Macaca mulatta: one gene and its partners. The protein of the gene in region 1 interacts with the protein of each later gene in a pairwise test. Links are inferred from orthologs where the notes say so. Each region holds a gene or a part of one and is shown in the gene's direction. Other genes may lie near its edges. The genes, in order: GMCL1, SHQ1, CUL3, FOXR1, XAGE3, KAT5 and APOL6.

Region 1 (3,820 bases):
CACTGGACTTGGTGACAGACTAAGTGTTAAGAGGAAAGGGGAGGAGTCTAGAATGATTTCCAGGTAAGTTGAAAATCCTAATGGAGTCAATGTTTTATTTTAATCTTAAAAAATTGTTTAACTTTTGTGTGGTATTTTTGTACTGATTCATTTGAAATATTAGTTAATAGCTTGCTAAATATCCTTGGTTGAGATCATTTGATTTTCAAAATGTTTTGATCCTTTCAATACTTATTTCCAATAAGTATACTTTATTTTCTAACTCTGGTCCTTTTGATTTTGTTCTAAATTCACTTTCTGCGTTACTTTTATGATTTACTAACTCTTTAACTTAATATACCTGCATGATGAATATATTTCAGAAATTTGAACGAAAAATAGTATTCTTTCCATATATTAAAGTTAGTTCGCTTAAAACCTATATAAACATTTTAGGTTAAAACTTTAATGTTCATAATTTAAAATAACAATATACTTGTTTTAGGTGTGTCTCTTAGATATTGTAGTTATTTTAAACTTAATAATTACTTTCTGCTAATGCATACTATTTGTTTAGGCCCATGACATGGTTAACTGACTATGTAGACTTCTTAATTTAAAAAGAAATGGCAAAACAGACAAAATGCTGCTAAAGAAATTTGCAAAGGTCTCAGAGAGGGAAGAATAGAAAAGAAAAAGAATAGCAGTATTCATCTCTACCTGACTGCTCCCCCCACCTTCCATTTTCAAATTCCAAGTATTTAGTTGAATACTTGCTGAATTTTTTTTCAGTATTTTTATTGGACTTGTTTAAAAAAAAACACAAAACTTAGGTTTGCTGCACTTAATGAGTTTTCTTTCTTTTCTTTCTTCTTTTTTTTTTTCCTTTTTAATATGTAAAAGCACATATCAGAGCTAATTTTTCCCACGTGAAATGGGCCTTTCCAGTGCTTATTTATATTTACAGGACGGTTTAATACAGCAGTGTGGTGAGACAATGAAGGAAACAATTAATGTGAAAACTGTATGTGGCTATTACACATCAGCAGGGACCTATGGATTAGATTCTGTAAAGAAAAAGTGAGTTACCTTTCTCATTTTTCTTCCTATCCCACTTTAGGAATTTGGTTGCTTTAGTTTCTTAAGAGAATGTATAGCTATAAGAAGGAAAGAATTAAGGAAAATTAGGATAGGGGAATGGAATTTTGTTAAATAAAAAGCCCATTTTAACTTTTGGACTAATTAGTAAATTCCTCAAAAGTATTGTCTTTGTCAGTGACCATATGGGTTATATATATGCTTATAAAAATCTTGGTCACTCTTGGTCAGGTGTAGTAGCTAACACCTGTAATCCCAGTGATTTGGGAGGCCAAGGCAGAAGGATCACTTAAGCCCAGGAGATCATGACCAGCCTGAGCAACATAGGGAGACCCCATCTCTACAAAAAATTTAAAAAATTAGCCAGGCATGGTGGCATGCACCTGTGGTCCCAGCCATTCTGGAGGCTGAGGTCAGAGGATTCTTTGAGCCCAGGAGGTTCAAGACTGCAGTGAGCTGTGATCATGCCACTGCACTTTATAGTATATTTTCTATTAAAATTGTTTAAGAAGTAGGCCTGATAGACATTATATCATTGCAATGACTGACAGTCCTTCTAACTCTTGAAAGTTGCAGTACCTGTTTTGAGATTTTAAAGGTTATAGTACTATGCAGACCCCTTGATAAACTATTTAACACAAACTCAAAATGAAGTTTTAAAACTAGAAATGCTCTCATTAATATAAAGGAAATATTCTCTTAATAATATCCACTGACAAAAATAATACTAAATTTCCTATTGTTAAGTTAAAAGTTTTGAGCATGTTCTGGCAAGATTAATATTCTGATTTTAACTATAAGTCCTACTTAATAAATTGTAAATACATGGTATATAATGTAATAATTATATGTTTTAATTTCAGGTGCCTTGAATGGCTTCTAAACAATTTGATGACTCACCAGAATGTTGAACTTTTTAAAGAACTCAGGTATTTGAATTTCAAGTAACTTTATAATTAGTCATCCTAAAATATTGTTTATCATTTGTTAAAGTACGTAACATTTTTGTAGAACACAAAAATATGAAAAAGCAAACAATTTAATGAAAGGGCTTGACTACATCCATAAGCTGAAGAAATGCTACACAAACTTATTTCTTTGTTGTGAATAATATAATGGATATTATGTCTACCGTTTTAACCAATTTTAATAGAAAAATGCATTACTGTTATAAGACTATAGAAAAGTTTCAGGTTTTGCCAGACTTTTAGAGAATTTAAAAGGTATATTTTAAAAATCATCTTTATTATTGAGAAATAAGTTTGAAGAAACTGTTTTGGCCTTTTTTTTTTTTTTTAACCTTCAAAAACTTTTCATGTTGATCGGTTTTCTCACTAGAATGAATTCTCTGATGTGGCGTAACAAATGTGTGGCTCCTATAAATGTACATTTTTCCGTCTCTGATTATTTCACTCCTTGAATTCAAATCTGTAATCCCAGCTACTCTGGAGGCTGAGGCAGGAGGATTGCTTGAGCCATGGAGGTCAAGGTTGCAGTGAGCTGTGATTGCGACACTGCACTCCAGCCTCAGTGTGAGTGAGACCCCATTGAGACCAAGTTACCATAGTTCTTCACTGTCACCTCCTGGTACAAGGTCTTCTGAACCAGGTCAAGGTATTCCCACTCCTGATGAGAGAAGTCTATGGCCATGTCCCTGAATGTTACGAATTCGCAGGCCATGGTTTTAGACAATCAAAAGCCAATCAGTCCTCAGGGTTTCTCTACCAGAAAAGCAGATTTAGGAAAACCTAGACCTGTAATCCCAGCACTTTGGGAGGCCAAGTTGGGAGGATTGCTTGAATCTAGGAGTTCGAGATCATCCTGGGCAAGATAGTGACGTCCCCTCTCTTTGAGAAAATAGCAGTCTTCCTTTAAAAAAAACTGTTAGCACCACACAGGGTCCCATGCAGGCTTCAGGCTGGGGCTGCAGAGGCTCCCACAGTCAAATGCACTGCCTTCATCTTCAAGCGGGACCCGGTCGCACACAGCACAGCGCAGAGCCAGAGGTCCTGGAGATGGAGCCAGAGGGCCAAGATTTCTCTGTCACCTGTGGACCATGTAGTCCAAGCTGGAATAATAGGACCGCAGTCACCCATGAGAAATGGATTCCAGGGTTCTAAAAACCTACAAGATATATGGCGGTGACAATGAGGACTGCCCACCACCCAAGCTATATAGCAGTCTTTCTTTATTAAAGAGATGGGGGCCTTGCTATGTTGCCCAGGCTAGACTCAAACTCCTGGGCTCAAGCAGTCCTCCCACCTCAGCCTCCAAGTAGCAGGGATTATAGGCACATACCACTGCACCCAGCTTAGTTTGGCTTTTTGGATTAAGTACGCATATTATCCATTTATTCCTGCAGCAAGTACTTCCTAACTGTTCATTATGTAAAGATACTCTGTTTGTGGCTGTGAAGGATGCAGAGATGATTTTGTCATGGTCTCTTGCTGTCAGGGAACTTATTTATAGTAATGGGACTAAGGTATTTGTGATGGGTCTGAGAAAATCTGGCTAGCAGTGAAGTTTTGAAGGCTGGTTGGCATTACAGTCATTTTCTGGCTTGCATTTACTTGACAGCGGTGCTTTGGAGACAGGGATACAAATGTGCCCAGGAGTAAGTGACTTTCTGATGGAACTGTACAAAACTAAAGTCAAACATTGCATAGCTTCCCGGGATGTGAATTTTACTGATTGTACTGATTTGTTGTTGTTGTTGTTGTTGTTGTTGAGGTGGGGGAGAGGT
Region 2 (3,820 bases), on another chromosome or scaffold:
TCTTGGCTAACATGGTGAAACCCTGTCTCTACTAAAAATACAAAAAAATTAGCTGGGCTTGGTGGTACGTACCTGTAGTCCCAGCTATTCGGGAGGCTGAGGCAGGAGAATTGCTTGAACCCGGGAGGTGGAGGTTGCAGTGAGCCGAAATCGCGCCACTGTACTCCAGCCTGGCGACAGAGTGAGACTCTGTCTCAAAAAAATCTTCTGAAATAATATGAAATGGTTTAAGAAAAAGTACTCCATGCTGCTGATATTGCTTTTCCTCCTTGTACATTTTAAGATTGTGAACATTTATACATTTATATAGGTTTAAAAATAAAACAATGGCAGTGAAAAGGCTCCATCACACCATCATCCTGTGTCATCCCCCATATTTCCAGTTCCCATCCTATCTCCTTTACATAAGTTACTGTTTTCTGTCACTTTGGAGAGTTTATTGAGAAGTATACAAGCAAATAGAAACATCTGTTTTGATATCTTTCCTGTTATTTTCCCTTTTTATATATATGTAGCATATACATATGGTGAGCCTTTTGTGGTGTTAAGCAGTAAGTCTGGATTGGCCCATGGAGAGTTTCATTCATTATACAGCTGTAGGCTATTCCTTTGTGTGGATATGCCATAACTTATTTCACCAGTCAACCAGTCTTATAACAAGGACATTTGGTTGTTTCCAATTTTTAGGTATTAAAAAATGATGTCATAGTAAATAACCTCAGACCTATGTTATGTAGTGTGTGTGCTACATGTGTTTAATTTTTAGACATGGGGCTTGCTGGGTCCAGGGTATATACATTTTCCATTTTGAAAGTTATCGCCAAGTTCTCCTTCTTGGGGGTTGTAGCTATTTAATCTCCCTCCATCAGTATATGAAAGTGCCTTTTCTCCTGCAGTCTTGCTAACAGAATAATATCAAATGTTTGGGTATTTGCCAATCTGACATATAAAAAATATATCTCACATATGACTTTAATTTGTATTTCTCTTATTTGACTGGAGTTGAACATCTAATACATTTAAGAGTTACTTATATTTCCTTTTGTGAAAATTGTCTGCTTGTCCATTTTTCTGTTAGGTTGTTATATATCCATTATTAGGAACTCTGTTAGGAGAATTAGGGTTTATTAGTATATATATATATATATATATATATATGCACTTATTATAGATATATTACCCAGAAGGAATAGATTTTTTTCTTTTTCTTTTTGAGACGGAGTCTCGCTATGTTGCCTAGCTGGAGTGCAGTAGTGTGATCTTGGCTCACTACAACCTCCACCTCCTGAGTTCAAGTGATTCTTCTGCCTCAGCCCTCCAAGTAGCTGGGATTACAGGTGACTGCCACTGTGCACGGCTTTTTTTTTGTATTTTTAGTAGAGACAGGGTTTTACCATGTTGGCCAGGCTGGTCTTGAACTCCTGACCTCAGGTGATCCACCCACCTCAGCCTCCCAAAGTGCTGGGATTACAGGCGTGAGCCGCCACGCCTGGCCAAGAAATTGATTTTATTTAGTTGAATTTATCAGTCTTTTCTTTTGTGGCTTCTGAATTTTGAGTCATAGTTAGAAAAGCCTTCCTCCTTCTTAGGGTCATAAAGGAAATCTGTGTTTCCCTGTAATACTTTTAATCGCTTTTTAAAAAATATGTATATCTTGGATCTGTTTTTACATATATATCTTGGATCTGTTATGGTATATATCCTGGTGTGCCATTTAAAATATGGATTCAACTTTATTTTTTTGGAAGCTGCATACCCTGTTATCCTCAGGCCAATTAATAAATAATTCTAATCTTTGTTCTTAAAATGTTTTCAAGATCCAAAAAGTTGGCAGCTCTTGCAGAAGCCTTAAAGGAAGTCTCCCTTACAAAGGCCCAGCTGGGGTTAGAACTGGAAGAACTAGAAGCAGCAGCACTGCTTGTCCAGGAGGAGGAAACTGCATTAAAAGCAGCCCATTCAGTTTCTGGGCAGCAGACACTTTGCTCCAGCTCTGAGGCAAGTGATTCGGAGGACTCAGACAGCACCGTGTCATCTGGAAACGAAGACTCAGACTCAGATTCAGAACAAGATGAACTCAAAGACAGTCCATCTGAGACAGTCAATTCTTTGCAAGGTCCCTTTCTTGAAGAAAGCAGTGCCCTTCTTATTGTTGATGGTGGAGTATGCAAAAACACAGCCATCCAGGAGTCTGATGCCAATCAGGGAAAGCCCCTTGCCTCTTCCCAGCCTCTTGGAGTGTCTGGACCTCTGATAGAGGAGCTTGGGGAACAACTGAAGACCACAGTTCAGGTTTCTGAACCCAAGAGCACCACTGCTGTAAACCACAGCAATATGCAGGAGAGAGACGGCCGTCAGACACCAAATGATTGACTCTTAGGTGGTTTTATTTGTTGTTGAGAAATACGGTAGATTTGGTTTCATTTACCAAATGAGAATTCCTCATTTTCACTTTGTAGTTTTTCTTAGTATATAGACAGCCTGCTGTATTTGTATCCGCATCTGTGGATTCAACCAACTGCAGATCAAAAATATTTAAGAAAAAATTGCATCTGTACCAAACATGGAGACTTTTTTTCTTGTTATTATTCTCTAATACAGTATAACAACTATTTCCACAGCATTTACATTGTATGGGATCATATAAGGAATCTAGTGATGATCTAAAGTGTACGGGAGGATGTGGGTAGGTTATATGCAAATACTGCACCATTTTTTATCAGGGACTTGAGCATCTGATGATTTTGGTATCCTCAGGAGTCCTGGAACCAACCCCCCACAGAAACGGGGACAACTTTATGACTTTTTTTTCAATCAGTGAATGTGTATACCTTTTGTTTTCCTTGCTATCACTGTGAAGATAAAATTCAAAAGTATTTTTACCAAAGTGTAGCTAATATTTCAAGCTGAAAATAATAGTTCTACTGCCAGTGTCTCCAGAATGTAGAGCCCATCAATATTTTTATTTTAGGAAGTGTACTTGACACCCCATAAACTGCACGTATCGAAAGTGTACAGTGTGTTGGCATATGTGTACCCCACATAAAACTGTCACCGCGATTGAAGTGAGGAGCGGACCCATCATCCCCAAGTGCTCTTGGGCCCCCTTATTAGTTTGCATGTCCTAGAATTCTATGTAAATTGAATCATACAATATGTATCCCTTTTTTGGTCAGGCTTATTTTACTCGGTCTAGTTATTTTGAGATTCATCCATGTGGCAGCATGTGTCAAGAGTTTTTGTGTTTTTCATTGCTGAGTACTACTTCATTGAATAGATCTGTTCATTGACCTATCGATGGACGCCTCGGTTGTTTCCATTTTGGGGCTGTTATAAATAAAGCTGTTATGAACATTTGTATACAAGTCTTCATGTGGACGTATGCTTTCATTTCTCTTAGGCAAATACCTGAGGGCGGAATGACCGAGCCATATGGTAGGTATGTGTTTAGTGTTTTAAGAAAACGCTGAACTGTTATGCAGCATGGCTGTACCATTTTACATTCCCACCAAAAGTGATAGTTTATGAGAGTTCCAATCTATGAGAGTTCCAGCCTATGAGAGTTCCAATCTTGCACATGCTTGTTACTGATATGGTGAGTCTTTTAAACTTTTACCATTTTTATAGATGTGTAGTGGTGTTTCATTGTGGAAGTGTCTGTTCAAATCTTTTGCCTCTGTGTGTGTGTATATGTTTGCCTGTGTGTGTGTGTGCGTATGTTTGAGACAGGGTCTTACCCTGTCTCCCAGAGTGGAGTGCAGTGGCGCAATCTCTGCTTACTGCAGCCTCAACCTCCCAGGTTCAAGCAATCCTAGCACCTCCT
Region 3 (3,820 bases), on another chromosome or scaffold:
GTGCATATTTGCCTTAAAGGTTGTTGATTAAAAGGTTACAGGCCAGTGAGTACTATTGATAGAAATTTGCAACAGTGGTCCAAACCAACTAAATTGCTAAAAGTAAAGCTAAACTGGTACTAATTTGTAATGAAATGATGATAATAATAACTGAGTACCAGTAAGCATAAGATAGTATTTGTAAGGTAACTGTAACCAGGCATTTTTCCTGAATACCATAACTATCTGAGCATAACATAACGTAGCATAACATAACATTCCATAACAGTAGGAATTTTGTAGTGTTGCCAAAACAGATGTATTAGTAAGAAGCTAAAATGTTGGCCGGGCGCGGTGGCTCACGCCTGTAACCCCAGCACTTTGGGAGGCCGAGGCGGGCAGATCACAATGTCAGGAGATCAAGACCATCCTGGCTAACACGGTGAAACCCCATCTCTACTAAAAATACAAAAAATTAGCGGGGCGTGGTGGCAGGCACCTGTAGTCCCAGCTACTCGGGAGGCTAAGGCCGAAGAATGCCGAGGCGGAGCTTGCAGTGAGCTGAGATCGCGCCACTGCACTCAAGCCTGGGTGGCAGAGCAAGACTCCTCCACCTCAAAATAAATAAATAAATAAATAAAAAGATTATTAGTTATTTAAAAACTCTTTTTCTCAAACGTTAGTGTATATGTTTACTCCGTTGAGACTGGGAGTGGGATGGCAGGAAGACTTTAGTAACCAGCAGTATGCCAGCAAAGCGTATGATAAACATGATGAATCTTTCTGGTTATAATTTTGCATTCAGACAAATCTAAAAAGAACATCCCACTCTATCTTGGAGTCAGATGCTTCTATATTTTTGACCCTCGCTGGCATATATATTTACTTTTTTGGCTATTTTTTGGAGTGCATTGGCACAGTTTGAAAAACATTGTTTACAGGAAATGTTTTAATTTAGTATTATGTAAACACCAAAGGCTTTAAAGGATATAATTCAGACTATATCAATCTTTGTAATGAGAGATTACACAAAATCCTATTAGTACTTATTTTACTTAGGTTGATTTATTATAAACACTATAGAAACCCCAGCTAAGAGCAAAAACACCTTTTTCTTCTATATTAAAAAAATTACATTTTTAAATTGCAGATGGAAAGCCAGAAATTTTTAGCAGAAAATAGTGCTTCAGTATATATAAAGAAAGTAGAAGCTAGAATTAATGAAGAGATAGAACGAGTGATGCACTGCCTTGACAAATCAACGGAAGAACCAATTGTGAAGGTAGTTGAGAGGGAACTCATTTCCAAGCACATGAAGACTATAGTAGAAATGGAGAATTCTGGGCTAGTACATATGTTGAAAAATGGAAAGACAGAAGGTAAGTGTTACCGATTGAAAAATAATTAAATCCTTATTCTGCCTTATCGATATTTTTAAAACTTTCCTACATTTAAAGCAGGTATCAGTTTTCAAGAAGTTGTGTATATTGTTAATTTGTCTCCGCTGTTAACCTGGGTGGGATTTCCAAGCTTGATACTGTCTTACCAATGAAGATTTTAGATATTTCTAATGAATTGAGCATTTCCTGTCTTTAAGTCTCATTTTATGTTTTTCTTAATCCAGAAGATAAAAAGTGTAACAGTAGGTGAGCCCAATGAGCTCCTCATTCATTCCTGTACTTGTCGTATACCAAAGGATGTGGGCTGTCTTTATTCCTACATACTCTTGGGGTTTTGTGATTCTCTTAAAATCTTAAATTTCCACCTTAGATTTTTGTAGACTTTCCTTTGGGATTTAGTTGTGATAGGGTGCCAAAAATGCAAAAATATTTATGTCTTCCATATTGATACACTTAGATAAATTAGATTGGTTTGGGGAACACTGAAGTTACAGAATGGAAAAGGAGGAAGGAGGAGTGCATAAAAGTAGAAAACACTATTGAGATAACTAACATTTATTTTTTGTAGCTATTTATCTTTATTTCCCTGGGGTAAAAAAAAAATTGTGACAAGTATCCTAGAAGAAATTACAAGTTAAAAGAACAATAACCATATCTTCTATTCTTAGTTTCTGATGCTTTGATTTAAAACTTTGCCTTTATCAGTGATATGGTATTAGAAAATAAAAAAACATGGTCCCTTGTTCTCCTGCTTCGTAGATGAAATCTGAGCGATATTTTATCCACTTCTTTTTAGTAAAAGAAATACATATTGCCTCTTGGGGTCATGAGCTATGTAGGGAATGAAAAAAAGTTTTTTAACAGAGAATTATGAAGAGCAGGAGGATACAAGAGAAGGGAAAAAGAAAGCTGGTGGGAAGTTGAGCCACGTTTCTCTCTAGTGGAATCCTTACCTTGTGTTTTAAAATTGTTAAATTTTTGTATATATGATAAATCCCTGAAAAGTGATACATAATTTAAAAAAAAAAAAAAAAACTAGAGAGACTTCCTTTTTAAAAGACTATTCTGTTAAACCTTTTTTTGTAAAAGCAAAAAAAAAAAAAAAAAAAAAAAACAAGTCATCTAGTATGTTTGCCGTGTTTGCTAAAATTAAGGTCTAAGTCTGGGGTTGGCAAGCCTTTTTTGTTCTTGTTGAATAAAATGGCTTGTGAGCCATGCAGTCATAGTGAGAAAATAGTCATAGACAATAACAAATGAATAAGCCTGTGTTTCTATAAGACTTTATTTATGGGCCCTGAAACTTAAATTTCATATAATTTTTATGCGTCACTAAATAGTATCCTTTACAGTTTTTCCTCAGCGATTAAAAATGTGAAAACCATCCTTAGTTCATGAGCTGTATGTACATAAATAGGTGGCAGGCTTATTTGCCCCACGGGTTCTAATTTGATGACCCTTCTCTAAATGGTCTCTGGTAGACTAGGACTTCATGCAAAGCATTTGCCCTGCTTAAACAAAATGAGTATCGATAAATTATGTAATGTACTGTTTAGGTATTGAGTGAATGCTTTCTTACCTACCTTAGGGGCATGTAGGGAGGGATGATTAAATGGGCTGGAGATGAGGGGCTAGGAAATGTTTGATGGAGAGGTTGTTGGGCATACCTGAATTACAGCATCTCTGTAACTTGTGTGGAGATATATGTAAAAGGTGTCAGGTGTGCCTATCATTGCAGGCACTTAACGTGAATGAAGGAATATCATAATAGTACTCACCAGAGTTCTCCTTTATTTAGTACCTTAGGTTTCCAACAACACAGTAGCTATCTGTGATTCTAAATTAAATTTTAAAATCCTGTTTTTGTCCGGGCAGTGTGGCAAACGCCTGTAATCTCAGTACTTTTGGGAGGCTGAAGTGGGTGGATCGCTTGAGCTCAGGAGTTCAAATTGGTGATACCCTGTCTCTATGAAAAACACAAAAATTAGCTGGGCGTGATGGCACATGCCTATAGTTCCAGACACTTGGGAGGCTGAGGTGAGAGGATCATTTGAATCCGGCCAGGGAGGTCAAGGCTGCAGTGAGCCAAGATCATGCCACTGCACTCCAGCCTGGGTTGCAGAGGGAGATGCTGTCTTAAGAAAAAAAGGGGGAACTGTTGTCTTTAATTTTTCTGAGCTTCCACTAGAAACCTAGTGGCAAAAGATCTTAATTGTGGTAGACCCCGCTCTTGGAAAAAAGTTGCTCTTGTTGAGAACATATCAGAGGCAACTTCACCATTATGAAGCCAAATTCTCATAAATCAGAAAACGAAAAACAGTTTTCTCACTGTGAATGGAGGATAAATTGGATTGTTATTAGATGCAGATAGCGTTATGAAATTAAGTTCAAATGGTATCTTTTTTTTTGAGATGGAGTCTTGCTCTGTCACCCAGGCTGGACTG
Region 4 (4,272 bases), on another chromosome or scaffold:
GGTTATCAGAACTTATTATTAATAACATTAGTGTCACTAAAGTTGGTATACAAGCCCCTATTGCTAAATTTGGCTTAAAAAAAAAAAAAAGAAATTGTTCCAGATTAATGGAGAGTAAACAGACACGGATATTGAGTGTATTGCATAGTGCTGAAAGGGATTCTAGGCCAGAAAAAAAATTTATATAAATGACATTGTTGGGACAATTGGTAAAATTTGAATAAGAACCATATATTAAATAAAACATTGAATCAATCTTAAATTTTCTGATTTCTGATTTTCTGGATAAAACAATATCCTTGTTTTTAGGAAATAACAGAAATATTTATAGGTAAAGGGACACGATGTCTGCAAATTACTCTCAAATTGTTAAGCAAAACATAATATATATGTAGTATATATGGAAATAAAAATATAAATGTGATAAAATGTTAATAATTGGTGTAATTGGTGAATCTGGGTGAAAACGTATACAGGAATTTTTTATAGCATTCTTGGGATTTTTCTGCAAATCTGAAATCATTAAAAACAAAATTTTTATTTTAATTTTATTGTCCCCTAGGCTGGAGTGCAGTGGCACCATCTCGGCTCACTGCAACCTCCACCTCCTGGGTTCAAGCGATTCTCCTGCGTCAGCCTCCCTGGTAGCTGGGTTACAGGCTTGAGCCACCACGCACGGCTAATTTTTGTATTTTTAGTAGAAACGGGGTCTCACCATTGGCCAGGCTGGTCTCAAACTTCTGACCTCAGGTGATCCGCCCACCTCGGCCTCCCAAAGGGCTGGATTACAGGCGTGAACCACCGCGTCCGGCCGAAAAACAACAAAAAATTTTTTCATCAAATCACCATCCAATCTAACTCCATCTCCACCATCTACTACAGATGTGATCGTGGATAAGCCATAAACCTTTCATAACTTTTAGAAAGTAACTACAATTATGGTAGAAAGGATCAATGTTAAAGCAAAACTATAAAAATAAATAAATACGATCACGTGACCATGGCGCCTTTTCAATGAAATAAGGGGCTTGGGCAAACGAGGATGCGGAAGATGGTCTGGGGTCCCTTCCGGATCCCCAGGTCCTCGACCCCCAGCATGTAAGGGTAGGGTCAAGGAGGGTCTTCCTAAGCGTTCCTCGGCGCCGTCCTGAGGAGATTAAAGGCGTCAAATGGACCGCTCCACACCTGAGCTGCCGCCAAGCTAACTCAATCGCAGCCGGCGCATTTGAGAAGGCGCCTGTGAAGGTCGCTCCTCAGCCGCCGCGCTCCCACTCCGCGCCGCCGCGCCTCTGCCCGCCCCGAAGGTGGACGTGAAGCTCCAGCACCTCGACTTCTGGGCCAGCCTCCATGGCCAGGTCCCGGGACTGCTGGACTGGGACATGGGGAACGAGCTCTTTCTGGCCTTCACCACATCTCACCTCTCCTTAGCCGAGCAGAAACGTGAGTAGCGGGTGGGGTGAGGTGGGGGCTGGGCGTGGCGGCGGGGTGGCCTAGGGGCTCGCGGGACCCCGGGGCCGGGCGGCTCCCCAGCCTTCGCCCCCGCCTCCCGGGGAGGCTTGCGGGGGCCGAGCCCCCCGGGCTTAGCTCCGCAGCCCCCACTCCACCCCTACTGGCGAACTCCACTCGGGAGTGGTGGGGCGGGGGCGGTTCGCGCCTGACTCTGACTCAATTGGAAGCTCCCCGAGGGCAGCTGGTCTTACCTAAAAACGGAGGCTTTCCACTCTACGTCACCCGCCAGGCTCCCAGAACATTCCAAGGCCTCTTCTGGGTCTTCGTCTTGGCGCTGGTCGCCATTTGCTATACTGTATATTTCAGTTACTTTTCCGTCTCTTAAAAAAACAGGACTCATCGTTTTATCCATGGCTGTATTCTCCCTCTTAACATATTGTCTGACACCTAGAAGTGCTCCGTACTTGCCAAATGCTTGGTTGACCGTTGTGATCTTTTAGGTTTTCTTTTTCTTCTTTGGACCTCAAGTGTGGAGAGTTGAGGTAATTACTCCCCACATTCATGGTACCTTTTTGCCTGCAAGGCCCTTGGATTAACTTTTTTTTTTCTCCAAATTTATTGTTTTTGAGACGGAGTCTTGCTCTGTCTCCCAGGCTAGAGTGTCAGCTCACTGCAGCCTCCGCCTCCCGCATTTAAGCTATTCTCCCGCCTCAGCTTCCTGAGTAGCCTGGATTGCAGGCGTGCGCCACCACGCCCTGTTAGTTTTTTTATTTTTAGCAGAGGCGGAGTTTCACCACGTTGCTCTTGTCGGCCTTCCAGAAGTGCTGGGATTACAGGCCTGAGCCATCGCCCCCGGCCTTAACTCTTCCTTTTGCCCCTTAAGTCTCCACCCCTCCTTCCATTACCTCCGCTACTCCCATAACCAACCCTAATCCATTTAACGTCTGTTTTCTCCACTCATTGTTTTTGAGAGCTGTTGTTTTGCGTTGCTAAATTCAGGCCTGGTTCATTATTTCTGATTGTTGTTACTATTCTATCTGCTGGGTGTCCCACCTTTTACATTTTAATTTTCTTTACACCTAGATTGCTTCCAACTCTTTGCCACCATAATTAATGGTAATGAACATTCTTTCTTGTTTCTTCATTCAAGAAATATGTATTGAGGCCGGGCGCGGTGGCTCACGCCTGTAATCCCTGCACTTTGGGAGGCCGAGGCGGGCGGATCACGAGGTCAGGAGATCGAGACCATCCTGGCTAACACGGTGAAACCCCGTCTCTACTAAAATACAAAAAAAAATTAGCCGGGCGCGGTGGCGGGCGCCTGTAGTCCCAGCTACTCGGGAGGCTGAGGCAGGAGAATGGCGCGAACCCGGGAGGCGGAGCTTGCAGTGAGCCGAGATGGTGCCACTGCACTCCAGCCTGGGCGACAGAGTGAAGACTCCGCCTCAAAAAAAAAAAAAAAAAAAAAAAAAGAAATATGTATTGAGCACCTCCAACTGACCTGGCACTGTTCTAGAAACTCATGATACACAGTGAACAGAACAGACAAGGAACCTTACATTCTACTGGGGGCAGATAGATAATCCACATAAGTATAATAAATGGGTAGACCATATAGTATGCTATAAAGTGATCATCTGCAATGGGGAAAGAACAGGAGGAGACTCAGGAATAGGGGAAGCGTATGGTAGCAGCTACAGTTTGTTTTTGTTTATTTTTGTTTTTTGAGATGGCGCCTGGCCCTGTTGCCCAGGCTGGAGTTCAGTGGTGCAGTCTCGGTTCACCACAACCTCTGCCTCCCGGGTTCAAGGAATTCTGCGTCAGCCTCCTGAGTAGCTGGGACTACAGGCACGTGCCCCCATGCCCGGTTAATTTTTGTATTTTTAGTAGAGATGGGGTTTCACTCTGTTGGCCAGGCTGGTCTCGAACTCCTGACCGTGATCCGCCGTCTCAGCCTCCCAAAGTGCTGGGATTACAGGTGTGAGCCACGGCACCCGGCCTTTTTTTTTTTTTTTTGACATGGAGTCTCACTCTGTCGCCCAGGCTGGAGTACAGTAGCGCAATCTCAGCTCACTGTACCCTCTGCCACCCAGGTTCAAGCAATTCTTGTGCCTCAGCCTCACCAGTAGCTGGGATTACAGGCATGCATCACCATGCCCACCTAATTTTTGTATTTTTAGTAGAGACAGAGTTTCACCATCTTGACCAGGCTGGTCTCAAACTCCTGGCCTCAAGTGATCTGCTTGCCTCGGCCTCCCAAAGTGCTGGGATTACAGGTGTGAGCCACCACGCCCAGCGGCAGCTACAGTTTTAAATAAGATTGTGGGGTTGAACTCAATTAGGAACATAATATTTGAGCAAAGAGTTGATAGGAGGGGAGGAGTGAGCCTAGAGGGTACTTGAAGGGAAAGTGGTAAGGAGGTCAGTAAGGCTGAATGACAGTAAATAAAGAGCTCCGAAGGGTGTGGTTGAGAGCAGGAATGCCTGTCCTCTAAGGACTTTAGGGTTGACTTTGAGTCAGATGAGGGTTGGTTTTAAGGTTTTGTTTGAGATGGGCTCTTGCTCTTGCTCAGGCTGGAGTGCGGTGGCACAATTACCTCCAGGCTCAAGCAGTGCTTCCGCCTCAGTCCCCAAAGTAGCTGCAACCACAGGCACGGGCCACCACACTGGCTAACTTTTTTAGTATTTGTAGAGATGGGGATCTCCCTATGTTGCCCACGCTGGTCTCGAACTCCTGGACTCAAGCAATCCTCCTACTTCCCAAGTTGAGCAGAGGAGTGACTTGCTCTCAGGGTCTGCTTCATGATTGTGTGACCCGTGCAG
Region 5 (4,407 bases), on another chromosome or scaffold:
ACTGCTCCTTCTAAATGGGATCATTCCCCAACCTAAGGGGGGAACTTACCTCCTTCCCCCATGTCCTTCTATAGCTACTAACATATTTATCTGCTGCCCTTCAAAGTGAAACTGCGTGAACTTATACAACCCACTTCATTGGAGTCATTTTTCAAAATTATATAGAAAGGAAAATGAACCAGAACAGCCAAAACGATTCTGAACTATAACTTTGGGGAACTCACACTACCTAATATCAAGAGTCATGTTAATTCTATAGTAACCAGAACGTGGTACTGGGGAAAAATCAACAGACCAGAATGGAGTCCGGAAATAGGTTCACAGACATGATAAACTTATTTTCAAAAAAGGTGCAAAGGCAATGGAGAAATATTATCTTCCTGAGAAACTGTGTTGTTTTCCCCCTTGCTTCTTGGCCACTACATTCATTGTTCTTTACTACCGTGGGTCCGTTCCCCATGTTTCTCCTTTGCAGTTCAACTGCTCTTCTGTTTAACTGTCTGTCTGCCCCACTACAGTGTGGTGGCCTCCATGGGACATACCACGTGTGGCTCCTTGGTCTTCACATTTCCAGCATCCCAGATATTTCCTGCAACATGGCAGGCACCCGTGCATATATAAATAAAAAAAAGCGTGTATATATATATAAATAATTTATTTGTCACAAAAGGTCTTTCTGAGACACATCCTCCACTCATGGTGACATGGGACTGTCCCCAGTGTTTCTGGATGCATAAGAATTGTAGGGCAAGAGAGGGAACAAAGCCTCTTAGTCCCTTTCCTTCTACTACAAACATCTTAGGGATGTGAGTCTGGGGACAGTGAGAAAACCCCGGCTGGCCTTGCATGTGCTTGACTCAGTATGCACACCCCTTGCTGCCCAAGTCCCTTGTTGTCCATGTGCCTTGCTGTCTGCCTTGTGTCCCTGCAGAGCTGTGCAAGGAGACATCGTGACTTCCTTCTGTGCTGCTGACTAGGAGTCAGCCGGTAGGTCCGAAGATCAGTCCTCCCAGGGTGGAAGTGGGAGAGAGTGTGAGGAGGAGCCCGCGGCGCAGTCTATGTCCTCCGATTGGGGAAGGTCCTTGAGGTTGCCATTCTTCTCCTAACAGGCGGCGACACAGCCATGGCCTTGGTATCGTGGGTGTCCCAGACAGGGGAGGAAGGAGGGCCATAGAGGGGAGGAGGACCTAGTGAACATGGAGTGAGCTTTGAAGGGGGAAACTATTTGTGGTATTTGAGTCCCGGAGGCATATGAAACCGCCCACAGAAGACACATTCCGAAGTCTTCAGTGGGAACCTGGGAGAGGGCAGAGGACTGCGCGGCGCGGGATGGGGTGGGGCGAGGAGGGGCGCCACAGCCCACTAGGCAGGCACCTTCCTCACTGCGCATGTCCACTGGGCGTCTTCCCCTCTGCACCTTTGCCCATGTGGTGAACGCCCTGGAGCTGTGAGAGTGTGAGGGTCGCGTTCCTGCTGTCTGGACTTTTTCTGTCCTACTGAGACGCAGCCGGTAGGTCCACAAGCCATTCCTCCCAAGAGTTGAAGTGTGAGTGAGTGTGAGGAGGAGCCAGTGGCTATCTGGAGCGTGGGACAGCGTGGTCCACGGCCTCAGAGGTCGAAGGGTCTCAAGGTGCTCGTCCTTCTGCTCGTGAGGTGGCACTGCCGTGGGCCTTGTTGTAGTGAGGTCAGAATGAGGGAAGAAGGTGGGCCGCACAGTTGAGAGGGGTCAGGTGAAAATGGGGCGAGTGCTGGGGGTGCTGGGGCAGGTATCCGAGTCCCTGGAACCCTCGACCGAGGACAGATTCCAGGCTCCTTTGTGTCGACCCGGGAAGGAGCAGGGTGGGCATTAAGGAAGGGAACTGGGAACGCTGCGGGTTGGCGACCATGGCCCTGAGGTCTGTAGAGCGCCTGGCAGAGGTGTACAGTGAGGAGGGCCCAGCGCTGTGTGGCAGCTTCTCAACTCCACCGTGGAGGTTTGAGTTGGTGGGGCTCTGCGTTCCAACAAAACTTGATTTTAGGGGGGAAATGGGCCTAGCAAATGGGTGTGTGACAAAAGCCGTAGTTACTGCAGTTTTAATTCTCTGGCTGTATTTTCCCAAATGTCTCCACAGAGGAGAGTTAAGTTGTGAAACCAAACCTTATCGGAAATATCCTGTGTCTTTTGCCAGGAGCCTTAAGAAATTGCTCAGTTAGCTTGACCAACTTAATGGCTTCGCAAGCATTCATAAGGCACACACACTTACACTTGCCCTGAGACTTAGTTCGAAAGTATTTACAAACTTTTAAAAAACGACAAGTTAACATTTGGTCATGGAAGTGGTCAAATATAGCTGTCTTTTCAAGTACATTTACCAATTCACAGTATTCTGCTTGCAGTGTGAAATATGATTTGGCGAGGAAGATCAACATATAGGCCTAGACCAAGGAGAAGTGTACCACCTCCTGAGCTGATTGGGCCTATGCAGGTGAGTGCCTTAACCTTTGATGTTTTCTATTAGCAGAAAGTTATTTTTGTAACTTGTTGTTGTTGCAAAACTGTTTTGTAATTGTTGTTGAACCAATATAGATACACCAATAAAGGTGTCCCATGCTGATAGAAATTATCATGGGGGCCTGGCGCGGTGGCTCAAGCCTGTAATCCCAGCACTTTGGGAGGCCGAGACGGGCAGATCACGAGGTCAGGAGATCGAGACCACCCTGGCTAACACGGTGAAATCCCGTCTCTACTAAAAATACAAAAAAAAAAAAAAAATTAGCCGGGCGAGGTGGCGGGCGCCTGTAAACCCAGCTACTTGCGAGGCTGAGGCAGGAGAATGGCGTGAACCGAGGAGGCAGAGCTTGCAGTGAGCTGAGATCCGGCCACTGCACTCCAGCCTGGGCGACAGAGGGAGACTCCGTCTACAAAAAAAAAAAAAAAAAAAAAAAAAAAATTCATGGCATCTCATGAAGGAAAGACGAATCCAAGAGGAGTAAGTTCTCCTGTTGTCTGGGTGGATGATCTTGTGTTCCCCAGATTTTGCCCATGATTTCCTTCTCATGCTTATTTGCAAAAGATTACACACATTCATCCTAACATAGATTAAAACAGCTTCCAAAGCCCTTGAGGGCAACTGTCTTAGAGTAACCTCTCTGTGGGAAGAGTAACTTTATGAAAAATAAGTATGTGGAATAGTGTTGGAGAAATGTCTTTAGACTTATGATCAGAAACATCTATGTATTCTGTATGTTTATATTATTGAAATGTATTGATAACAAAACTTTTTATCTGCACACACACACACACACACACACCCCTCGTTCCAGGAGCCCAGTGATGCGGAGCCTCAGCAAGCGGAACCACTAACCGAAAGTCAGGATTCTACACCTGGTCAGGAGAGAGAAGAAGATCAGGGTGCAGCTGAGATTCAAGGTACTGGGAGGGGAAAGAAAGAATGTCTATGGGGAGGGAAGGAGGCCTATGTGTGCATCATGCCTTATGCCATGACCAGTAACAGGAGGAAAGAAAACATTGGGAAAGGATCTCAAACATTTGCTGAGAGTTGGCTGGACAAGTGAAGAGTATAGTTTGCAGCTTCATAGAGTCCCTGGATATAATGAATCTTCTCCTACCTTTAAAATATATTTTGGGCCGGGCGCGGTGGCTCAAGCCTGTAATCCCAGCACTTTGGGAGGCCAAGACGGGCGGATCACGAGATCAGGAGATCGAGACCATCCTGGCTAACACGGTGAAACCCCGTCTCTACTAAAAAATACAAAAAACTAGCTGGGTGAGGTGGCGGGTGCCTATAGTCCCAGCTACTTGGGAGGCTGAGGCAGGAGAATGGCGTGAACCCGGGAGGCGGAGCTTGCAGTGAGCTGAGATCCGGCCACTGCACTCCAGCCTGGGTGACAGAGCAAGACTCCATCTCAAAAAAAAAAAAATATATATATATATATATATATATATATACACACACACATATATATATATATATTGTATGCTTGAAAATACAGTCCTTGCTAAATCAGATGAAACTGTTTAATTTGATGTACAAAAATGTACATTATTTCACTAGTTTACTTTGATCTTCTTAGAATGTTGTCTGATCTTCTTAGCCGAGGGGTCCACAGTATTGTATGCACCCTTTAATAGCATGTAGAATGCCAAGTCACCCTACCTTGTAACACCCTGAATAAAGCCCATTTGTATAAGGATGTTAGCCCTATTTTGTAAAGAAGAAAACTGAGGCTCTGAAATGGAGGCTTACCAAGAACACTTGACTCATGGAGAAGGAATTCATATTTCATTCCAACGTTTATGTTCTCCCTACCATTCACATTAGAACACGTGAATGATTTTGCTTGAAATGTTAATACTCGAATGTGTCTGTACTGTAAGGTACTTCAGTATTGGCTCAGGACAAAACA
Region 6 (3,800 bases), on another chromosome or scaffold:
ACTTTGGACACATTAGTTTGTTGATTGCTGTTAAAAACATTACAGGGTGGAGTCTCCTGGCCAGGCTTAGATGGAGGTGTGCAGAGTAAGTCGGGAAACTTGCCCGACTGAGCAGGGAGGCATTCAGACACATCACACATCTGGCACAGAGGCTTTTCAACACTGAGGAGCAGCCCTGCGTAAGCTGCGGGCTAGTGGAGTGGGTCAGGCCCAGCCAGGGAAGAATACTCATCACCTATCAGTCTGGGGCATAGCACAAACAGTGAAGCTCCTGGTTGACCCTGAACCACTGGCCAGGCTCAAGGCAGGATACCCAGAATGGTGACAAGCCTTTTCTCTTGCAGAGTTATTCCCAGAACCTGTGTCTTTTGGCCAAGTGTTTCCTTGACCATAAGACACTGTACTATGACACAGACCCTTTCCTCTTCTACGTCATGACGGAGTATGACTGTAAGGGCTTCCACATCGTGGGCTACTTCTCCAAGGTCAGTGCCTGTCCAGGCTGTCCCTGTGCCCTATCCTGAGCCAGGTCCCTTCCCTGACACTCACCTGCCCCCCTTTTCCAGGAGAAAGAATCGACAGAAGACTACAATGTGGCCTGCATCCTAACCCTGCCTCCCTACCAGCGCCGGGGCTACGGCAAGCTGCTGATCGAGTTCAGTGAGTATGTGTGCTGCAGCCAGGGGGTAGTGCACCCATCATCGGTGCCCCATAGGCAGATGTGCCAGGCTACCGTGATTCTCAACCGTGGCTGTGCAGCCCGGTCTCTAGGGGAGCCAGCCAGAAATAACAGTGGCACTCTCCCAGAGTTCTCTCCATTCAGGCTGACTGCCCTGCTTATCTGGGGTAGGTTCTCAGCCCCACAGTTTGCTCCTTGGCCAGGGTTCTAAGTGCCACTCAGCTTTCCCCAAATCTGACTTACATGCTCCTGCCTGGAGCCATGGGCAGGTTAGTGAGCCGCTGGTGCTCATGTATCTGGTAACCGGTGTCACATGATACAAGTCCTTGGGCAAGGACCAGTGGTTAATGTCCCCAGTTGTCGCCTGAGCCGTGCAGGCAGGTGTCCAAAATGCTGTCAACAGATACACGTAAGCATGGAATTCTCCCTTGCTCCTCGTGTCCAGTGAGGTCAGTCTCTTAAAGCCAGAAGGGACTCTGACCTTCATCACACATGAGCTCTTCAGTGCCCTCCCCAACCCTGAGGCTCCTTCTCCTTCTCAGCCTCTTCCCCATCACCCCGCATTCTATCTCACCACTCACTTGGAATAACTAAGCTCTGACCTGAGAAAAGAAGAGGAAGTTCTAGCTGTTTGCCTGGTGAAGACACAGAGGCTTTACTTGATCAAGGTTATGGTCCATTCGAGAAATGTATTGGTTAAGTGATGCCCAGATGGGGTCACATCCTCAGAACTTCTCAGCCTGGTAGCACAAGTGGATGCTTGAAGAAACTCAGTCTTGGAGCTCAGACTGCAATGGAGATGGGATGTGGGTGGGACTACCAAGGGGCTAAGGTCCATTGTGAGGGTGAGGAAGGGCTTCTAGAAGTCACAAACATCCCAGGTCCCTGGTGGGGAGAATGAAGACACTGCCCAAGAGATGTGAAGCCACTCAGGGCTGTGCAGGGCCAGGATCTCACTGGGGACTGCCTCCCAGTGCGCAGCTATCAGCAGGAGTTGGAGGGAAACAGCCATGGTGGGGGTCAGTCACCTGGCTCTCAGGAATGGTCTCCCCAACTTGGGAAGCACTTTGGTGCACCTTTTCTCCTTGCATCCTCACAACCACCCAGTCAGGCCACTCAGGTCTTAACAGCAGCTGACACTCCCAAGATCCCAGCTAGGAGGACTGATTTGACTGAGAATTCAAGCATTCTCAGGCCTGGATTAGAGACAGGAATCTGTCCCCACTTCCTTCCTTACATGCCCAGACATGGAGCCTGGGATGGCAAAGGAAAATTGGAGGCACTTTCTTCCCCTGAGCCATTTTCCCTGCATCCCCTGCCCATAAGCCTTCACTGGCCTCTGATCACCCTCGTGGTTGACTGCAGCTGCTCCTCTCAGTGCTCTCATGCCCTCCACTGTGCTCAACTCCCAGGGGAAGAGTGAATACTCGTTAGTTCTTCCTGAGGGAACTGAGGCGCAGAGAGGCGGAGGCCACAGAACTGCCAAGTGGCAGGGCCATGATGGGAACTAGGCAGCCTGCCTTGGCGACCTGTGTTTTTAAATGTTGCTTATGTTCATCTATGACCTCTTACTCACCCTCTCCTGCTCCATTGCTTTAGGCTATGAACTCTCCAAAGTGGAAGGGAAAACAGGGACCCCTGAGAAGCCCCTCTCAGACCTTGGCCTCCTATCCTATCGAAGTTACTGGTCCCAGACCATCCTGGAGATCCTGATGGGGCTGAAGTCAGAGAGCGGGGAGAGGCCACAGATCACCATCAAGTGAGCCTGGCGCTGCCTACCTGGGGGTACATGGCATGGCCTGTCTGTTCCTGGGCTTTCTCACTCTCTCCTGGGGCTCCTGGGGACAGATGAAGGTCCTCAGGGGACCTGACCTTTGCTCTCCTACAGTGAGATCAGTGAAATCACCAGCATCAAGAAGGAGGATGTCATCTCCACTCTGCAGTACCTCAATCTCATCAACTACTACAAGGTAGGGAGGCAGGCAGGGTGGAGACAGGTGTGTGGGATGCAGAGTGCAGGCCCCTGTCCGCTGGCCACTTGCTGAACCCATCTCCTCTGCCCAGGGCCAGTACATCCTCACACTGTCAGAGGACATCGTGGATGGCCATGAGCGGGCTATGCTCAAGCGGCTCCTGCGGATTGACTCCAAGTGTCTGCACTTCACTCCCAAGGACTGGAGCAAGAGGGGGAAGTGGTGACCAGGCACTGCCCACTGCAGTGCTAAGACAGCAGGACTGGGGCTGATAGCCCACCCCGCCCTCACTGCAGCTCCCACAAAGCACTCTAAGGGAGATGGGGCTGAAAAGCTCGAAAAGGAGGGGACAGGCCTGGCAGGGCCCATTGGTGCCCGGCACCAAGGCGAGCTCAGGGCTCAGGCTAACTCCAAGGTCAGCTGGCCACAGGCCCAGGCCTGCTCTGAACCAGGGATCAGAGGGAGCCAGGCAGCTGTGTACAGTGAGATGGGGGGTGGGGGAGCTCTGTACAGAGGGCTGGTGGTTGTAAAAATTTCTTTTGTAAAGTAGAAGTTGGGGGTGGGGTGGGTGCTGGCTGCAAAAAATTCTGGCTTCTCTTATCCCCATTGCCCACGGCAATAAATTGTTTCTATATGCCAGAGCCATGCAAGGTTCTTGGGGGAGAGGGGTCCATGCTGGCTTAGGGGCTCTAAGGTGCCCGGACTCACAGGTGCTGTAAAGAGCTCCTTTATTGGGGTGATGGAATCAGTGGTTCCAAAGAGCTGGTTTACTGCTGTGAAGGGATCGCAGCTTTGAATTTCAAGCTCTGGTTCTCAGTCCTCGGGCACCTGTGCGTGAATCTGCAAGAGGAGTCGCCTCTACTGTTGGACTTGTAAGGCAGGGCGGCAGGCTGGCCCCCAGACCCGGGGAAGGACCCAGCTGTTCAGAATAACCCCTTCTAGACATGGCTAGGAAGAGTGGTCGGGGAGCTACGCTTCCCACGCACTACCCAGTAGAATCCTCCAGGCTTCGTCTGCCCAATTGTGCTCCACAGCCCATCCACCCGGGGACAAGACGGAACTCCTCATCTACTCACCGCTGCCGCAAGACTGGGCCAAGTTAGGGCCCCACGCACTTTGGCATCCGGGCCAGGGATGGTCTCCAGACC
Region 7 (4,590 bases), on another chromosome or scaffold:
TTGGGCCTTGAGGGAAGGGAAGTGGACTCTAGGAAATTAAACAACTCCCCACTTTTGTTCATCTGACCTATAGGGTGGATGTTTTCTGTTCCCTTACATAAGCAGCACTTCCCTGCATTTGGCTACAGAACATTTTTCTCACACAGCATCTCTTGGGGCGATCGTTTCACAAGAGCCCTGGTGGTAAACACTGCCCCTCATCCAATGGCCGGTCTGGCCCCTGAGACTCCCAGGACCGAGCAGTGACCACAACATCTGGGTCTGTTGCCAGGGAAAACAGCAGGCAGGCCTGGGATGGCTCAGCGACCCCAGCCAGGCAGCCAAGTCCGCTTCAAGGTCACGCTGTGTTTAGAGTGTTCTCCAAGTGTGGGAGGCCACAGCAGGGCTGGCTTGTGGAATCTGGGATGCCAGGGTTGGAAAGGCCCCTACAGGACCCAACTCAGCAGCGCTTAACCCCTCATTCCTGCTCGTAGGGCCCAGTGACAGGAGGTGGCCTCCATCGTCGCAAAGGCAGGACTGGCTAGGTGGGCCACGCCTTCTGCAAAGCAACAGCACCCAGTGTGGCCTCAGCTAGGGGTGGTGACTGGGGATTTCTGCAAACCACGTGACTTCTGATCACAACGTGACAGAAATGTTAGAGAGACACAGATCTCAGCCCGTAACCACACTGTGGGCTCATTCTTGCAGACACAGCGCCTAGGACTGGTTCTTAGCTGTGTAATCACTAACAACCCACAACTTCTAGAAGCCTGAGTTTCCTCTTCCTTAAAGTGGGAGACAGAGTATCACATCCTGTATCTCCAATCCTTGAGGCCAGATGCATGTCAGAGTCCCCAAGTGATTTTTAGAAAGGTAATGGGGTGCAGGTATCACGTACTGTGTAACCCACCCACCCCCAGCAGCCCTCCTCAGTCAAACATATTAATATTTTTACAGTGACAGTGAATATTCAAATTAAGGAAGAGACATAAAAACCATAAGTGAATTCATGCCAGATCAGCTCAGGTTTTGTCACTAAATGAATAAATTATTATTTTTTTTAAGTTTTCGTTTTCAGGCCGGGTGCAGTGGCTCACACCTATAATCCCAGCACTTTGGGAGGCTGAGGTGGGTGGATCACTTGAGGTCAGGAGTTTGAGACCAGCCTGGCCAACATAAAACCCCATCTCTACTAAAAATACAAAAATTAGCCAGGCGTGGTGGCAGGCGCAGGTAATCTCAGCTACTGGGGAGGCTGAGACAGGGGAATAGCTTGAACCCAGGAGGCGGAGGTTGCAGTGAGCCGAGATCGTGCCATTGCACTCCAGCCTGGGCAACAGAGCAAGACTTCATCTCAAAAATAAAATAAAAAATAAAATAAAAAAGTTTCCATTTTCAGAGGATTCTGCATTTCAGAGTTATTAGCCCTTAAATGCCGGCCGTGCACCTCATAGGGCTGTTATCCACATCAAGATGCTGTGGAGGGAAGCAGTTTCAGAACAATCAGTGATGATCGCTACTGTGAATCCACTATTCATCAGGTGCCCCATCGCTTGCTCATGGGCTCCTCACCATAGCTCTAAGCCACAGGAGCTATTTTCATACCCCATATAGGTCCATCCTATAACACAGCCAGGACAGAGACGAGAGACTCAGGCCTTCTGACTTTGATTCTGCTCTTTCATCTCGTTGTGCATGCAGTTAGAGAAACAGGCAAAAAGGAAAATGAAAGTGCACAGCTGGAGCCCATGATTTCCTGGAAGAGCCCGAGAGTTTGGCTTTTTTTTCTCCTGCAGCACTTAACAGAAACCAGTTTTGCAATCAATTCCCGTTCAAAAGCCACCCTACTCTTCCTATCTGTCTTTCTCCAGCCCAGACGCTCACAGCCTCCTGCAGGACCGGGGGCCTCGGAGAGTCAAGGACAGAGGTTCAGGATCTTCCTCTCCCTCGGGACCCGAGGCCACAAAGGAGAGCTCCGTGGAGAGAAGGTGAGATGGCAGGCAGAAGTTGGGGGAGAAGGGGGCTGCTGCTCTAGTCCCTGAAGGACAAAGCCCCCAAGGGGTTAGCTTTAGGCACCTGACTTAGGAAAAAGAGCTGCTGTCCAAGCAGCGGGGTTCAAATGCCAGCCAGAGCGTGGGGAGAGTCTGAGGATCAATTTCTCCTATGTTAAACCCGGTAGGTTTCTGTCCCTTACAGCCATTTGAGGGTTAAATCAAAACGTGATAAAGCATGTGATGTGACTAGCCAAGCTGCATTTGCCCCTCCACTGCTGGGGATCCAAGGGCTTAAGCAGAGGTGATCTGGCACTTAGAAAGCAGGTGATTTCAGCTGGGCGCGGTGGCTCACGCCTGTAATCCCAGCACTTTGGGAGGCCGAGGCGGGCGGATCACGAGGTCAGGAGATCGAGACCATCCTGGCTAACACGGTGAAATCCTGTCTCTACTAAAAATACAAAAAATTAACCAGGCGTGGTGGCGGGCGCCTGTAGTCCCAGCTACTCGGGAGGCTGAGGCAGGAGAATGGCGGAGCTTGCAGTGAGCCGAGATCGCGCCACTGCTCTCTAGCCTGGACGACAGAGCAAAAAAAAAAAAAAAAAAGAAAGCAGGTGATTACATCAGCCGCCACAGGGGTTTCTCTAGAAATTCAGTATAGGAGTGGTTTAGGGGTGTCATTTCACAAGAAAAAGGGTGCTGGGTGAGTTGTCCGGAAACTGCAAAGCCAACCTACCGAGTTTTCTAGATTGTAGGTTTATGTGAAGTTGTTTAGGAAGAGGGTGAGGGAGTTTGTGATAAATATTAGGGTGACTAGGCCAGGCGCAGTGGCTCATGCCTGTAATCCCAGCACTTTGGGAGGCTAAGGCAAGTGTCTTGTTTGAGCCCAAGAGTTTGAGACCAGCGTGGGCAACATAGTGAGATCCTGTCTCTAAAAAAGTCAAAAATTAGCTGGGCGTGATGGTGCACACCTGTAGTCCCAGCTACTGGGTGGATGGGGGGTGCTGAGGTGGAAGGATTACTTGAACCCAGAAAATCAAGAATGCAGTGAGCAGTGATCACACCACTGCACTCCAGCCTGGGCAGCAGAGTGAGACCCTGTCTCCAAAAAAAAAAAAAAAAAAAAATTGGGAGATTATCTTGAAGCTGTGTTTTCAAAGTAAGCAGACTTTTCTTACTTAGATTGTGTATCTGAAGAAGTTGGTTTTGTGGGGGAAGGCAGGTAAGGAAAGACTGTCATAAATATCCTATAAGCTTTAAAATGAAAATAATGTCTCAAATCCTCTCCCAATACAACTCTCATCTCACAACCACCGAGAGCAGGTCAGAGGGGAGGGAATGGGATCTGCTCAGACGAGTTTCCTGCTGTTACCTTTGCCCTGCATCCCATAGAACTAATGTAAAAAAAAATAGGAGAGGTACTGGGGGACTCTGGTGAAAAATGGGGTTCCAGACCAGGGTCTCTCACCCCCGGCACCCTTGTCATGTTTAACCAGGTGATCCCTGGTTGTGGGGGCCGTCCTGTGCATTGTAGGGTGCTTGGCAGCATCCCTGGCGTCTGCCCACTACATACCCTCTCCAGTTGAGACCATCAAAAATGTCTCCAGATATTAGCAACGTCCCTGGGGAGCAAATGTGCCCTGACTGGGACCAACCACTCCAGACTCAGCGTGGCTGGAATCGTACAGGCTCTCCTGCTTACTGTGTAACACTGGCCTCCCTATGTCTCAGTTTGCACATCTGTAAAATGGGCATAATCTTGGCATCGATTTCACAGGGTCACTGTAAAGCAGGTAGATGTATGTCTGGCGAAAGTAAGTCCTTAAAGGTGCCAAGCCCCTCAAATCAAACCAAGCTTCACATACCAGAGAGGGGAGAACGTTTTTATCTTTGACACATTAATTCTTTTTCATAGACTGCCCCAAAGAAATAACCAAACATGTAGACACACATCTATATAAGGATTTTAACCAAAAATTATAAATACAAAATTTAAAAATAACTGAAAACAACCCAAAGTTTCAACAGTGAGAAAGTTACTGAATGTGTAGTGATACATTGGTATAATGAAATGTGACACGGTTTCTATATATCACCTGGGGAACTACTACCATACAATGTTTTGTTTTTTTGTTTTTTTTTTTTGAGACGGAGTCTTGCTCTGTGGCCCAGGCTGGAGTGCAGTGGCCGGATCTCAGCTCACGCAAGCTCCGCCTCCAGGGTTCATGCCATTCTCCTGCTTCAGCCTTCCGAGTAGCTGGGACTACAGGCGCCCACCACCTCGCCCAGCTAGTTTTTTGTATTTTTTCGTACAGACGGGGTTTCACTGTGTTAGCCAGGATGGTCTTGATCTACTGACCTCGTGATCCACCCGTTTCGGCCTCCCAAAGTGCTGGGATTACAGGCTTGAGCCACCGCGCCCAGCCCCAACGATACAATGTTAAGTGACAAGAATTCACACAAGCTACCTGAACAGCATTCATTTAAATTTTGGGTTTGTAAAATAAAATGTCACTAGTTTTTATTTCCATGTGGTGAGTGTACAGGTGGATTTTATAATTTATTTCTAAATTTTCAACCGTAAACTTGTATTCATTTAAACAATTAGAAAATGAATGGC

The links.
Region 2: the proteins of GMCL1 (region 1) and SHQ1 interact in binary tests that used the Homo sapiens proteins (3 or more experiments, as listed by UniProt). The two-hybrid records come from large-scale screens. The link is inferred for Macaca mulatta from reciprocal best matches to the Homo sapiens genes GMCL1 and SHQ1.
Region 3: the proteins of GMCL1 (region 1) and CUL3 interact in binary tests that used the Homo sapiens proteins (3 or more experiments, as listed by UniProt). The two-hybrid records come from large-scale screens. The link is inferred for Macaca mulatta from reciprocal best matches to the Homo sapiens genes GMCL1 and CUL3.
Region 4: the proteins of GMCL1 (region 1) and FOXR1 interact in binary tests that used the Homo sapiens proteins (3 or more experiments, as listed by UniProt). The two-hybrid records come from large-scale screens. The link is inferred for Macaca mulatta from reciprocal best matches to the Homo sapiens genes GMCL1 and FOXR1.
Region 5: the proteins of GMCL1 (region 1) and XAGE3 interact in binary tests that used the Homo sapiens proteins (3 or more experiments, as listed by UniProt). The two-hybrid records come from large-scale screens. The link is inferred for Macaca mulatta from reciprocal best matches to the Homo sapiens genes GMCL1 and XAGE3.
Region 6: the proteins of GMCL1 (region 1) and KAT5 interact in binary tests that used the Homo sapiens proteins (3 or more experiments, as listed by UniProt). The two-hybrid records come from large-scale screens. The link is inferred for Macaca mulatta from reciprocal best matches to the Homo sapiens genes GMCL1 and KAT5.
Region 7: the proteins of GMCL1 (region 1) and APOL6 interact in binary tests that used the Homo sapiens proteins (3 or more experiments, as listed by UniProt). The two-hybrid records come from large-scale screens. The link is inferred for Macaca mulatta from reciprocal best matches to the Homo sapiens genes GMCL1 and APOL6.

Annotation. Positions count from the first base shown.
Region 1 is NC_133418.1:54,908,275-54,912,094, reverse strand, and holds part of GMCL1 (germ cell-less protein-like 1), read left to right. Parts: intron 1-946; coding exon 947-1,059; intron 1,060-1,940; coding exon 1,941-2,006; intron 2,007-3,820. UniProt on the Homo sapiens protein: Possible function in spermatogenesis. Enhances the degradation of MDM2 and increases the amount of p53 probably by modulating the nucleocytoplasmic transport.
Region 2 is NC_133407.1:136,238,605-136,242,424, reverse strand, and holds the end of SHQ1 (protein SHQ1 homolog), read left to right. Parts: intron 1-1,817; coding exon 1,818-2,370; 3' UTR 2,371-3,362; downstream 3,363-3,820. UniProt on the Homo sapiens protein: Required for the quantitative accumulation of H/ACA ribonucleoproteins (RNPs), including telomerase, probably through the stabilization of DKC1, from the time of its synthesis until its association with NOP10, NHP2, and NAF1 at the nascent H/ACA RNA.
Region 3 is NC_133417.1:129,759,026-129,762,845, reverse strand, and holds part of CUL3 (cullin-3), read left to right. Parts: intron 1-1,129; coding exon 1,130-1,358; intron 1,359-3,820. UniProt on the Homo sapiens protein: Core component of multiple cullin-RING-based BCR (BTB-CUL3-RBX1) E3 ubiquitin-protein ligase complexes which mediate the ubiquitination and subsequent proteasomal degradation of target proteins.
Region 4 is NC_133419.1:119,658,899-119,663,170, forward strand, and holds the start of FOXR1 (forkhead box protein R1), read left to right. Parts: upstream 1-1,239; 5' UTR 1,240-1,379; coding exon 1,380-1,440; intron 1,441-4,272. UniProt on the Homo sapiens protein: Transcription factor which acts as both an activator and a repressor.
Region 5 is NC_133426.1:52,729,625-52,734,031, reverse strand, and holds the start of XAGE3 (X antigen family member 3), read left to right. Parts: upstream 1-1,432; 5' UTR 1,433-1,510; intron 1,511-2,216; exon of another isoform or gene 2,217-2,268; intron 2,269-2,376; 5' UTR 2,377-2,384; coding exon 2,385-2,465; intron 2,466-3,303; coding exon 3,304-3,409; intron 3,410-4,407.
Region 6 is NC_133419.1:8,673,724-8,677,523, reverse strand, and holds the end of KAT5 (histone acetyltransferase KAT5), read left to right. Parts: intron 1-344; coding exon 345-485; intron 486-566; coding exon 567-660; intron 661-1,309; exon of another isoform or gene 1,310-2,278; coding exon 2,279-2,438; exon of another isoform or gene 2,439-2,567; coding exon 2,568-2,649; exon of another isoform or gene 2,650-2,743; coding exon 2,744-2,878; 3' UTR 2,879-3,291; downstream 3,292-3,800. Other genes in the region: RNASEH2C (ribonuclease H2 subunit C), read right to left, coding at 3,466-3,492, 3,729-3,800. UniProt on the Homo sapiens protein: Catalytic subunit of the NuA4 histone acetyltransferase complex, a multiprotein complex involved in transcriptional activation of select genes principally by acetylation of nucleosomal histones H2A and H4.
Region 7 is NC_133415.1:15,895,198-15,899,787, reverse strand, and holds the start of APOL6 (apolipoprotein L6), read left to right. Parts: upstream 1-1,790; 5' UTR 1,791-1,967; intron 1,968-2,524; exon of another isoform or gene 2,525-2,810; intron 2,811-4,590. UniProt on the Homo sapiens protein: May affect the movement of lipids in the cytoplasm or allow the binding of lipids to organelles.